Linked DNA regions of Drosophila melanogaster. The protein of the gene in region 2 interacts with the protein of the main gene of each other region in a pairwise test. Each region holds a gene or a part of one and is shown on either strand. Other genes may lie near its edges. The genes, in order: Cyp9b2, CG13407 and CG17782.

The links.
Region 1: the proteins of CG13407 (region 2) and Cyp9b2 interact in a two-hybrid assay, tested with the Drosophila melanogaster proteins (one large-scale study listed by BioGRID).
Region 3: the proteins of CG13407 (region 2) and CG17782 interact in a two-hybrid assay, tested with the Drosophila melanogaster proteins (one large-scale study listed by BioGRID).

The regions. Positions count from the first base shown.
Region 1 is NT_033778.4:7,130,536-7,134,290, forward strand, and holds the start of Cyp9b2 (cytochrome P450 9b2), read right to left. Parts: upstream 1,605-3,755; 5' UTR 1,555-1,604; coding exon 1,349-1,554; intron 1,285-1,348; coding exon 777-1,284; intron 705-776; coding exon 68-704; intron 8-67; coding exon 1-7. UniProt on the Drosophila melanogaster protein: May be involved in the metabolism of insect hormones and in the breakdown of synthetic insecticides.
Region 2 is NT_033777.3:22,101,297-22,105,051, reverse strand, and holds the start of CG13407 (uncharacterized protein), read right to left. Parts: upstream 1,639-3,755; coding exon 1,550-1,638; intron 983-1,549; coding exon 797-982; intron 522-796; coding exon 1-521.
Region 3 is NT_033777.3:24,371,084-24,374,838, forward strand, and holds the start of CG17782 (uncharacterized protein), read right to left. Parts: upstream 1,680-3,755; 5' UTR 1,654-1,679; coding exon 1,320-1,653; intron 1,098-1,319; coding exon 566-1,097; intron 435-565; coding exon 114-434; intron 1-113. Other genes in the region: CG17781 (uncharacterized protein), read right to left, coding at 2,408-2,681, 2,747-2,935, 3,001-3,755.

The DNA.
Region 1 (3,755 bases), on a different chromosome or scaffold from region 2:
CGATTTCCTACAAAGAAATTGTATGATTTAAACTGTCCTCCTTATCGTAACACTTTTATTAACTGACCTATGCAATTCCTAGGTCCCACGCCGAATGGCAAGTAGGTGTAGGGCACCATGTCACCCTTTCGCTCTTCGCTAAATCGATCCGGGTCAAACTTTCTGGGTTCCGGGAAGTAGCGGTCATCCAAGTGCAACCCGGAAATGGGAATGTTGATTCGGTCGCCTACCTTGAAGTCGAACAGCTTGGTGCCATCATCATCCGTGAGCGTGTAGTCCTTGGAGCACAGGCGATCGGTGGCGGCGGCTAGAGTCCACTTTCGAAGGGACTCGGAGATGACCATGTCCATGTAGGTCATCTTCTGCACGGCGTCGTAAGTGAGTGGTGCACCGTTCAGAGCTTTCTTGGTCTCGACTATCTCCTCGTATAAACGCTCCTGGACGTCGGGATTGTAAAGCAGTTCGTAGGTTGTGGTGCAGATCAGATTGGAGTTGTTTTCGAAGGCGGCGAAGAAGAAAATGAAGCACTGGGCCACGATCTCATCGTCCGTCCATTTATCCTCCGACTCATTCTTGGCCTCCATCAGGAGCTGGATCATGTCGGGCCTGGTGATATTGTGCTTCTCGCGGTACTGCATGGCTTCCACCACCAAGCGAGCAAAGTAATCAACCTTGGCGGAGTCGAAAATAGTAAGCTTCAAAAGCTGAGGACAACAAAAGGACAACATCTCGAATATATAATCTATTCAGTGCACATCAAATATTAATAAACTTACACTGAAAAGCTTTGGCACCAAGGTGGACAGCATGAACTTGAAGAACTGAAGTCCTCGGGAGAAAACCAGCGACTGCCCGATCTCGTAGAACTCATTTTTCGGGTTGTCGTACGAGTTAACCTTTAGCCCGAATGCGGTAGTGGCGATGATGTCGTTGGAGAGCTTGTTGCACATCACCTTCATGTCCACCTCAAAGCCCTTTCTGCCGGGAAGCGTTTTCGAAGAGCTGTCCAGGTGCTGCAGGCACTCCGCGAAGCTCTCGTTCATCAGGGTGAACATGTTGCGCATTTTGGCCGCCGTGAAGACCGGAGTGAGGGTGTTTCTCATGTGCTTCCACCGCTGGTCCCTCATCACGCTGAGCATGTCGTTGAACAGGCGATCGTTGGAGGTGATGAAGGGCTGGTGGTTGGGGAAGTGGTCAAAGTCCTTTACGCAGACCTTTTTGATCAGCTCCGGGTCGTTTAGCGTGATCATAGGTGTGCGCATATTGAAGAAGCCCACCAGTTTGCTGCATTCAGATAAGCAGTCTGTTAGCGTTTGAACAACTGGAAGTCAGGCGCATAACTACTCACTGTTGACGAGTGCGTTCGTAGAACTCGGTGAGTTGTCTCTGGAAGGACGACTTCTGCAAGGCCGCTGCAGCCATATTACCCACAAAGGGATATGGCTTTTCGAAGTAGAGCTTCCTTTCCTCAAAGGTTTTGAAGGTGGCCGTGCTCCATTTGTAGATGAGATAACCGATGACCACAAGGGCCAGACAAATTTCGATGAGTGCCATTTCTGGGCTAGATCCGTTTCACCACCTGTTCAGTACGCTGCAAACTGATTTTCACAATTACCCGACGCACCAATTTATACACGCCGCTATCAAATATATGTGTGTATGAATATGGTAAGAAAAGTATGTACGCTCTCGACAGGTTTCAAGCTTTATTCAGCCAGGTTTTTTTGCTAGATAGAACGCTTATCTCTTAGCCCGCTCTCAGTGAAAAATCTTTGCGAGCGGTGAGACTACAGCAAACATTTGTGCTTCGCACCCATTGTTTATATTTGGTGCTATCAACGAGTACTTCAAACGCGAGTGGTTTAAATGCTCTCTTCTCTCCAAAGGTCTAATCAATAGCGTATATACACGGCAATCCAATCAGTGACAACGAATAATAACACAGAGCAACAAAATGTGAGTAAAGTAGCATTTGTAATGATTGCACATTTCTTCGATATATATAATACTCTAGATTCTGAGTATCACAAATGCAGTAAGATTAAGAATAAATATATATGATATAGTAGAAAATAAATGCAAAAGACGCAGAAAGCCTGGCAAACCAAAATAGAAAGAAAATGTGATAGCAAGGGAAAGTATTTCGATATTCACTTATTGTATTTCATTGCCCATTTGCACTGTTGTCAAACGGCACTCTCCATTGCCGATAAGAGTGCTTGATTTGGGACTGGCTGATGAAATCAGGCTAAAGCATTCATCGAGTTACCAACAAAGAACGAAAAGCGATAATGTGTTCGAAAAGTAATCGGCCTTGTCCGTTGCCTGGATAATTTCAGCTGATGAAGCTCTGTTCGCTTTCCCCATCGCCCAGTGCTTATGTCACCTCACTAGAACTCCAGTTTGTCATGTCACACACACTGGATGTGATGTAAACCTGGCCGAAGACGGGTTTGACTCATAGTTTTGTTGATTTTGGGGCTCGCAGTTTGAATATTTAACATATTGACGGAGTGCTGGGGCCACCAACAAAAGCATAATAACGAGCAAACGGTTAAAACACCAATTTAGCCGCAAGCGCAATGGGAGAAATATAATTAAATATTTAGACGGTTGTGTTACCGAGCTAAGTTTTGTTTTAGTTTCTGCTTCTCTTTTGTCGGGCTTAGAAACTTTTGTTGCCATATCGTTGCCAAATAAAATATTTATTGAAGGGCTCGAAGAAGAAAGTGCATGCGGCTATTCATGTATAGAGAAGTTAGGAAAATTCATTAGTTTTTACACGGAAAACTCATATTTTTTGTATATTTTGCTGATCCATATCTGGGTTGGATTTATGTGAATACTTCCTAAACTTCTTTATGACTAGAAAACCTGCTATATTATATTCTATACTTTCATTTCCTGTGGCGCTCACTTTGCCTGTATGTTGTTCAGAAAATGTATTGAATTCACGTTTCTCTGATCCTTTTCTGGGATCCACTAGCTTTTCCGAGTTCGCCTGGGTTTATTCAACCCTTTGGAGCACGCATGCACTCGAAATCCCGCATACACATATGAGCATACATACATACATACATACATGCTCGGAAAACTGAGCAGCTCCCTGAAACCCACTGCTGTGTCGCACATGAAGGTCCTTTGGCATTTTATGCGCGACTAAAGTGTTAGGATATATGTGTCCAAACATATATGTACAGCCTGCGAGGATGTAAGTGATTGTGGACGGGAGAGCTGCATTTTATCAAAGCAGTTGCCCAGCAGTTGCTGATGTCTGTCAGGCTATAATGCCTGCTGCCACGCCCCCGCCCGCCCTTCTATACCATTTCAGTCCATTCTATTTCGCTTCTTTTTATGCGCAAATCATGCTGCATCATTAAATCTGCTGCTGTCGCTTCTCTCGTAGCTATGCTGCTGTGCTTTTTCGCTTTTTGCATTTCCTTTCGCTTTCCTTTCAGCAGCTTTCCTCGGAAAACCCGTCTGAAACCGACGGAGGGAAATTTACGGCTTTGGGCGTTGATTTTGTTTCGGATTCAGTTGCCTGTGCCGCCTTGCCACAGTTTTATTTTGTTTCGTTTTTTATGGGGTTTTAAGTAGTCGTAAAGCGTAACACTTGATGAGATATTAAACGTTGAAAGGATACCCAAAATCGGGGAAGGGCTCCCGATTTGGGATCACACATTGTTGCACTTTCTTTGATTTGATGGCTTTTTAAATATTGGTTTGTGAATTTTTCATTATTTCCTGGAGCAAAA
Region 2 (3,755 bases):
GCTTATTGGCCATCTCCGTGTGACGGCTGTAGGGCGATTGCAGCACCACCGTGGGCGTAACAATGGAGGGCGGCACACTTGGCTCGACGGCCGGAACTAAAGCAGCCTGATGATTCCAAGATGATGCCGCTGCCGATGCCGTTACCGATTCGGTGGCCGTTGTCGAGGTCTGTTCGCGTGAATTCATCTCGGCTAATTTGTTGAAACGATTGCGAGTGCCGCTGGCTGTGAGCACCATCACGGTGGGATTCATGTCAGCCATATGATCCTTCAGGCAGTTCTGCAGCATGTTAACAAAGAAGAAGAACGAGAGCAGCGTTAGTGCGTTCATCACCGAACCGCTGCTCTTCTTCGATTTCTTTGACGATTTGGTGGGCGGAGGAGCCGGTGGTGGACCAGCCGGCGGATGGTGGGCAGATGGATATGCGGGCCCACTGCCCGCACTACTGGGATGAAAGGAGGAGAAGCTACCCGAGGGTGGGTCATGCTGCAGCTCGTACTCCACGGATGGCTCTATGCCGCTGCAAAATTCAAACTGGCATTAGATGCGGAACTTGCACTGGAATTGGGGTTATGGTTTGACTTTGATGGCCAGTGCACAGGAAGAAATAGGTAATTTAGGTTGATAAGTTCGAAACTTTAGTATTCATTAGTATCAATATTATTAAGTATATATTCATCTTCAAATAGTTATTTATATTTTTTCATAACAGTTTAATTTCTTTGTATATTTGGAATGAATTTTCTTGTTCATCCCATTGCTTTTCTCTCAGTGCAGCGGTGGTTCTTTGCTTACCCGTAGCCGGAGTGTCCGCTGCCAGCCGCCGTGGCCGCATAAGCACCGTTGTGGCTGCTGGCGGCCGCCAGGAGCGGTGGTCGTCCCTGCTGCCCCTGGTATCCTTGGTGTCCTTGGTGGTAATGGCCCGGCAAGTAGTGGCTCGGGTAGTAGTGGTTGGGATAGTAATGCACACGCTGCGTTTGACTGCAAGAGAAGGTTAGAAGGTGAGTGGTGAAAGCGGGCAAGCGGATGAGTGAGTGGGGGGGGGGGGGGGTTGGGCATGTGGTTGTGTGGCCGAGACGCCGCTTCTGTTTGTGTCCCACATTAGCCCGGCTAAGTGCCTGAGGTATCAGTCCGCGCCCGCAGTGGCTGTCTTTTGGGCCAGGGGTCGTTTGCGATTGCAGTTGCCTCCGGCACTCCAGCACTTAATCTTTAAGCCAAAGAGCACACTTTATCCTGTTGCAACTGACTAAACTCTTTCAAGGCTCCTTTAAGCGATTATTAATATTACGTAGGATAGAAGAAAGAAGTTTGTTAAAGCGTTTAAGTTTTGCATATATCAATGACTGAAAAAGAATTAATTCATTATTTACGATGTTGTTTAGCAGGACTTCTTGATAAATATATAAAAAGCACTTAAGCGAGTTCAGATTAACAATATAATTCTAGGGAACTGAGTGAGTGTGCCACTTCTTAATTATATCAAATTTAATTTGATTTGGCTGTATGGCAAATACAGTCGACATCCCAATGCCTTTGACCATGGCTTACGCATAATTATTTCCTGAGATGGCTGAAAGCAGCGGATGTTGTTCCTGCTGTTGCACGTTGAGTTGATTTGTCATTTGGCCGTCGGACATTTTCACCGTCTTTGAGTTCACCAAATTCAATTGCTAATTGATTTGTGCCGAAAAGCGCGCATGTTTATCACTACACGGTGCACCAGCGTGGCTCATTGTCGCTGGTGCTCAACCTGCCATAAACCGATGGCAACTCGACTGCAGAAGCCGCAAACAGGACGATCAGGACTAACAGGACGAGCACGACGAACTGGAGTTTGGGGCTGAAGCAGCAGGAGATGATGCGCCCAACCAACCGCAAGTGACAATGTCGTTTAGGCAACTGGGCAAAGCCTTTCCCAGACACTTGCCTGGCAGGCGGCTATTAACGCAGGTGAACTTGAAGTGGGTGGTAATCGTGGTGGTGCTGATAGTGGTGTTGCTGGTGATGCGGGAAAGAAGAGAGGCAGGCGACTGTCATTGTCAGCTGCTAAGTGAGTTTGGCTACAACTAGCAACTTGCAACTGCAACGGCCTTAAAACAACTACTCAATGGCAGTGTTGGCAGGTACGGCTCGAGCAAAGCATTTGTACCAATACTTAAACTAGGTACAAGTACAAAAATTACAAAAAACATAGTAACTCACTTATTAAAAGAAGAAGTTATAGATTCTAAACGAGAGCTCCTTACTTTATCCACTTTGCTATATTGCTTCTTTATTGAATTTCAGGAAAGGTAATCTTTAGTATCTTAATTTAATTTTGTACTCCGTGGAGAAAGTATTTCCATTTCCCATCACTGTTCGTAACACGTACCCAAAAGCCAGCTGACAATTGCCGGCAAAGTGTTTTGTGGCGACAACGGCCAACTGACACACACCTGAATTGGAGCGTTGCGTTGCATGCATGCGCTGCACATTTCGGCCAGGCCAGACAATTAGTGAGCGACAAAAGGCCGGGAATGCTCCTTGGCATCAACCCCCCCCCCCCTACACTCCTCCTACTCCCTACCCTTACCGATTCCTGTCAGTGTTAATGACGCTCCAGTCGCTTGTTTATTGCATTAAAAGCTCTATGGATGCAGCGTTATGCATCAGAAATTGTCATAATTGTGCCATGTCTGGCCCAGACTTTGCCACTGTCGTCTGTGCAGCCAAATGGAGCTCGGTTCTTGTGGTCCCTTGTGCGGTTAGTCGAACCCGGCTTTTGGTTGGGGTCCACTTCCACTTCTCCACATCCACGCCTTTGGTCTTAAAGATTTATGACTGGGGCTAATAGTTTTCATTGCCAGAAAAGATTTTTATATTGAATTGAATTTTATGGGGTATATTAGTGCTGCTTATATCAGTTATCACACACTACAAGTGCTCTGATCTTCCACTAACTTTTTCTAACTATATTTAATTGTAATATATATACTACTTTTAAACAAGAAGTATACAACTCTTCGATCACAAACATAGCACAGTCTCGAAAAATCCCTGTCTGTTGTCTTTCGTAAAGCGGAAACATTAGACTGCAATAACAAATATTTAACATTTCCGCAGTGCTAGCGACAACGTGGAGCAAAACAAAAAAGAAAGAACAACATCAGCTAGATTTGCAGAATCAAAAGCATATAATAAATTGCACTGCAACTTTTCCACACATTTTCCAGCTTTGTAACGCTTTGATTTGTCGCGCTGCCCCAACCCCCAAAAATTTGGCCCACAGGAAATGTTGGGCAAAAAACTATGGAAAAGAAACTAGAGGACTTTTGCTGATTCTTCCAAAAAAAAGGGAAGCATATCGAAAAGTCAATTGCCTTGCGGGGTTGAAAATTTGAGAACATAAATGGGGGGCTGTTTTTTTTTTTTTTTTTTTTGTGGATTGGGTATTTATATTTAGCTTTTGTTGCTGGCGCCATTGTCAACATATTTCAAAGCCCTCCCAGGACCGAGACAGAGAGTCAATAACAAGTTGACTCGGACATATTGTAGTTAACTAGTAGCCGAACATTTGCCACCAACATTTTTATAAGATTTTATGGCCACCGAAATTGGTCAGCAAGAGCGCCCAGCGAAATTTAATGACTGGAAAATGAGGCATTTAAGCCAAGTGCCAACGAAAGTTTTTCCCTTTGAGTTGTTGAACGTGCCAGATATTTATGGGTCTGCATCTGTATCTCCAGCTCGGTTCGTGTCTGTGTCTGCCAGCGAT
Region 3 (3,755 bases), 2.3 Mb from region 2:
CCTGATGAGTCTACCTAAAACTTGTATCTGAACTTTAAGGTATCTCAATGAAATAGAAGAAGAAGAAAGAGTACATCTAGAAGGACCGATGCCTTACTTAGAGTCCTACTTACTTGTCCAGATACTTCTCGATTCGCTCGTACAAGGACTGTCTGCTTCTGCGATGGTGCTTGATCTGGAGTTGCTCCAGGCGGCTCATCTTGTCCTCATGCTCAGTGGCCACTCCACTGCGTCGCTGGCGTTTATGTGGATTGGCTGCATCCGGAATGCTGCGCTTGCCAAACACCGGATATATGCGATGATGTCGAGGAGCTGGCCTTCGAGTGGGTCGACTGGTGGTGGGTGCGCTGGTGGTGGTGGTACTGTCCTGTCGTCGCTGCGCCGCTGGCGGTGCTGCCTGTTGACTTTTGTAGCCGTAGTATCTATCTTTGAGTCTGCAAATGAAATAGATAATTAATTAAAATATGAACATGCATAAGGTAAAACTATAAAGGACTGAATACTAAAGCTAACCTTTTAGAAGGATGAAGATTAATAACCTCCTAAGTATGTACAATAGTTTTACCTTGAGTTTAAAGCCCAGTAGGGATAGCGTGAGTTCTGGGCGTGAGAGTAGGGTCTCGTCCACTTGGCGAATGGATTGCTGGAGCTGGAGCTGACCCCGGGCCGACTGTAGTAATAGTGATTGTCCTTCCGCCTGCCCCCCTTTGGACGTGAGGAGTAATAACTATCCGCATATCGATGCGACGGATGCATCGGAGGGCGGAAAACGGGCGAAAGGCTGTAGTAGGAGTTGCTGCCACTCGAGGAGGAGGAGGAGGAGGAGGAGCCGTAACTCGACAAATTGATGTAGTTGGGCTTGTAGTCCGCCGGCCTGCTCGTCGTGGTCGTCGTGGCATCTGCATCCACATCCACATAGGTTATGTTCGACACTGTGTCGTTGCGACTGATGTCTATTGTGCCGTCCTCCAACTTGGTCAGCAGATCGTCCAGCTCCTCGCTGGGCGGCTTGCTGGGCAGCTCCCAGGCCAGGGCCACCGTAATGCCCAGAATCAAGTAGTTCGTGTGGTCCACCACTCCCACAATCTCATCGTACACTAAACGGATGAAGAGGGAGGGGTAATTGAGGCATGTGATTTGCATTATGTGGCACAGTGGCATAGTTAGGGGTAATAATAGACAAGGTTTAAAGTCACAATCTTTGTAAATATTTTAGATTTATAAAGATTGAGATTTATTTTTATACTGCAATTGCGACACCCCCTATTCAATGTAAAATGCCCTTTAACTGCGTCACTGTCCCGTGACTGAGGACTTACCCATCTGAAAGGAGCTGCCTTCCGGAAATACCAAATAACGTCGTTTCCGGGACAACAGCTCCTGGCTGGCTGACTGGTTGTTCTGGTAGGATGCGGACGCAGACTCATTCAGCCTCATCTCGATGAGCTGCTCCAGGCTGCTGTCGTCCGCATTGTTTATGCTCAGTGATGGCTGGCTCCCGGTTGCCAACTGGATGGATTCCCCGGTCTTCAGTGCGTCGACCAAGTTGGCCACGATGAGAAGCGTCAGGATGGTCGGCCAGCAATTACCTATCGGGGAATTTCCCTTCTCGATGGCATTGGAGCAGCTCCCCATCTTTTTCCGTGTCGACATTTTTTCAACCTGCTGTCGAAGCGTTGTCCATGCGGCAACTGTTGGCCAAGTATCGCGATGCTGGCCCAAACCGACAAAGAGAGGCAGCAACAGAAGCGTTCTTGGCCAAAAGTTGGCTGTTAATTGTGAGTAGTGGTGGTGGCCAAGCAGCTTTCCCTCCAGAAAGTTTCCAGTTTGAGTTTGAGCTCCGCTCGTTAAATTTCTTTTGCCCTCCTCCTTTGTCTTTCATTAGTTTTCACACTTTTCGTCTTTTGTGCTTTGCCAAGTAGTTTGTCTTGCAGAGCTGCTTCCATTGCCATCGCCTTTTGCTCCGTGTGCTCATTGGTCTATTTAGAGGTTCAAATTACTTTTTCACGCTCCCAACTTTTGGTTTATTCGTTCCATCCCGAAAGTAGCACACTTCCATCTTATTCCGATAGTGCTGCAGAGTGGAAGTTGAAGTAATGTGATCACTAGCCTCCGTTTTTCCGGTGATAAACTCAAATGCTCGCCTTCGACTCGGGAGATGCTTTTAGCTGCAAGTGAAGAAACTTCCAAATGACTTTTGTGCAATCTTTTCTTTACAATATCCGACTAGCTTTCTGGGTGGGTTGTCAATACAAACTATAAGATATATTAAATAGCTCGTTAATCCCCAAAGTTATTCAAACACTGATTTCTACTGTAGTGCCCATTAATTTTTGTACATATAATATTGATTAAAACTCAATAGCAGCATTCACATAATTCCCAGACTTTTATTGTGTTTTTATGTTCAATCCAACCAGAACGTGTGATTACAGTCACCGTAGATTTGCCGACAGTTGCCCTTCTGCCGATGTGCCTCCAGATAATTAGGGGAAATCATTAGCTCAAGTTCCTCCAGCTCCTCCACGTCATCGCTGCTGGGCAATTGAAAGATGGCCGAGAGTATTTCCATTATAAAGCTTTGTGGCCTGACCGCATTCGTCCCTCGAAGGACATGCTGTTGCCTTTGGGAGGACTCGCAGAGTGCGCGGAGCACACAGGAGGTACCATTTAGTCGTCGCCTGGAGGATTACACGTTTATTACACCACTGAGCGAAATAATTTATAGTAGGCGTCTTAAACTCACGACTTGTACAGGCGTTCGATTTTGCCAAAGAGCAGCTGCCTCGAGCTGAGATGCTGCTGCAGGTGGAGTCGCTCGAAGTGGGCATCCTGATCAAGACTGCGTCGCCTCCTCCGCCGAGCGAAAACGGGATATATGTGATGTTTGGGTGGTGCTCGTAGCACTTCTCGGGGTCGCTGGGAGTAGGCATAGCTGCGAAATATTATTTTTAAAATAATATTTTAACTTAAATATGTATATTTTTTAGGTTTACTTACTCCCACTTCGAGGGGCCCCATATGCGCTGTTTTTCTCGCCAGTTCTGCTGCACTCGCTGTCCATTTCGTGTCCACCAGTTGTCAGCGCCCGTCGTCTTCACCCTTTGCTGCCACTCAGCGGGCGACTGTCGCGCATGCCAATTAGCAGGAATCGCCGCCTGGCTCTGCTGTCCATTTGCATTTGCATCCGCATTCGCATTTGCATTTGCATATGGGTAAGCGGCCGGGATGCGCTGGATATTCGTGTAATACGAGTGGGAGTCATGCTCATTGGCCGCATATGCCGGTGGATTCGCCGGCGGTGCGTGCACTGCCTGCCAATTAGCCGTGTCTGCTCCTCGATTGTCCAGTTCCAGGTTCTGCGAGTGGGTTAGGGGCTGGGATGGAGGGTCAGGTTCTGGATCGGGTACGCTGCCGTTCCGGCGGACAGTGCCGATGGTGCCGTCGTTGATGCGCGTGAGCACGTTTTCAATCAGCTCGCTGGGCGGCTTACTGGGCAGCTCCCAGGCCACGGAGCAGGTGATGCCCAGGATGGCGTAGTTGGTGTAGTCTATGATGGGTATGATGATGTCGAACACCAGCTGAAAGGACGAGCCCTCGGGGAAGAGCAGGTAGCGTTTCTGGCGATGCAGTCGCAACATCGCATCCCTTCCAGATTCAAGTGGGCCAGCGGGAGCAGGAGCAGGTGTGATGACCACTGTGTGCGAGACATTCGAGTGACCATTACCACTTGGTGCACTATAATTTTGGATCAG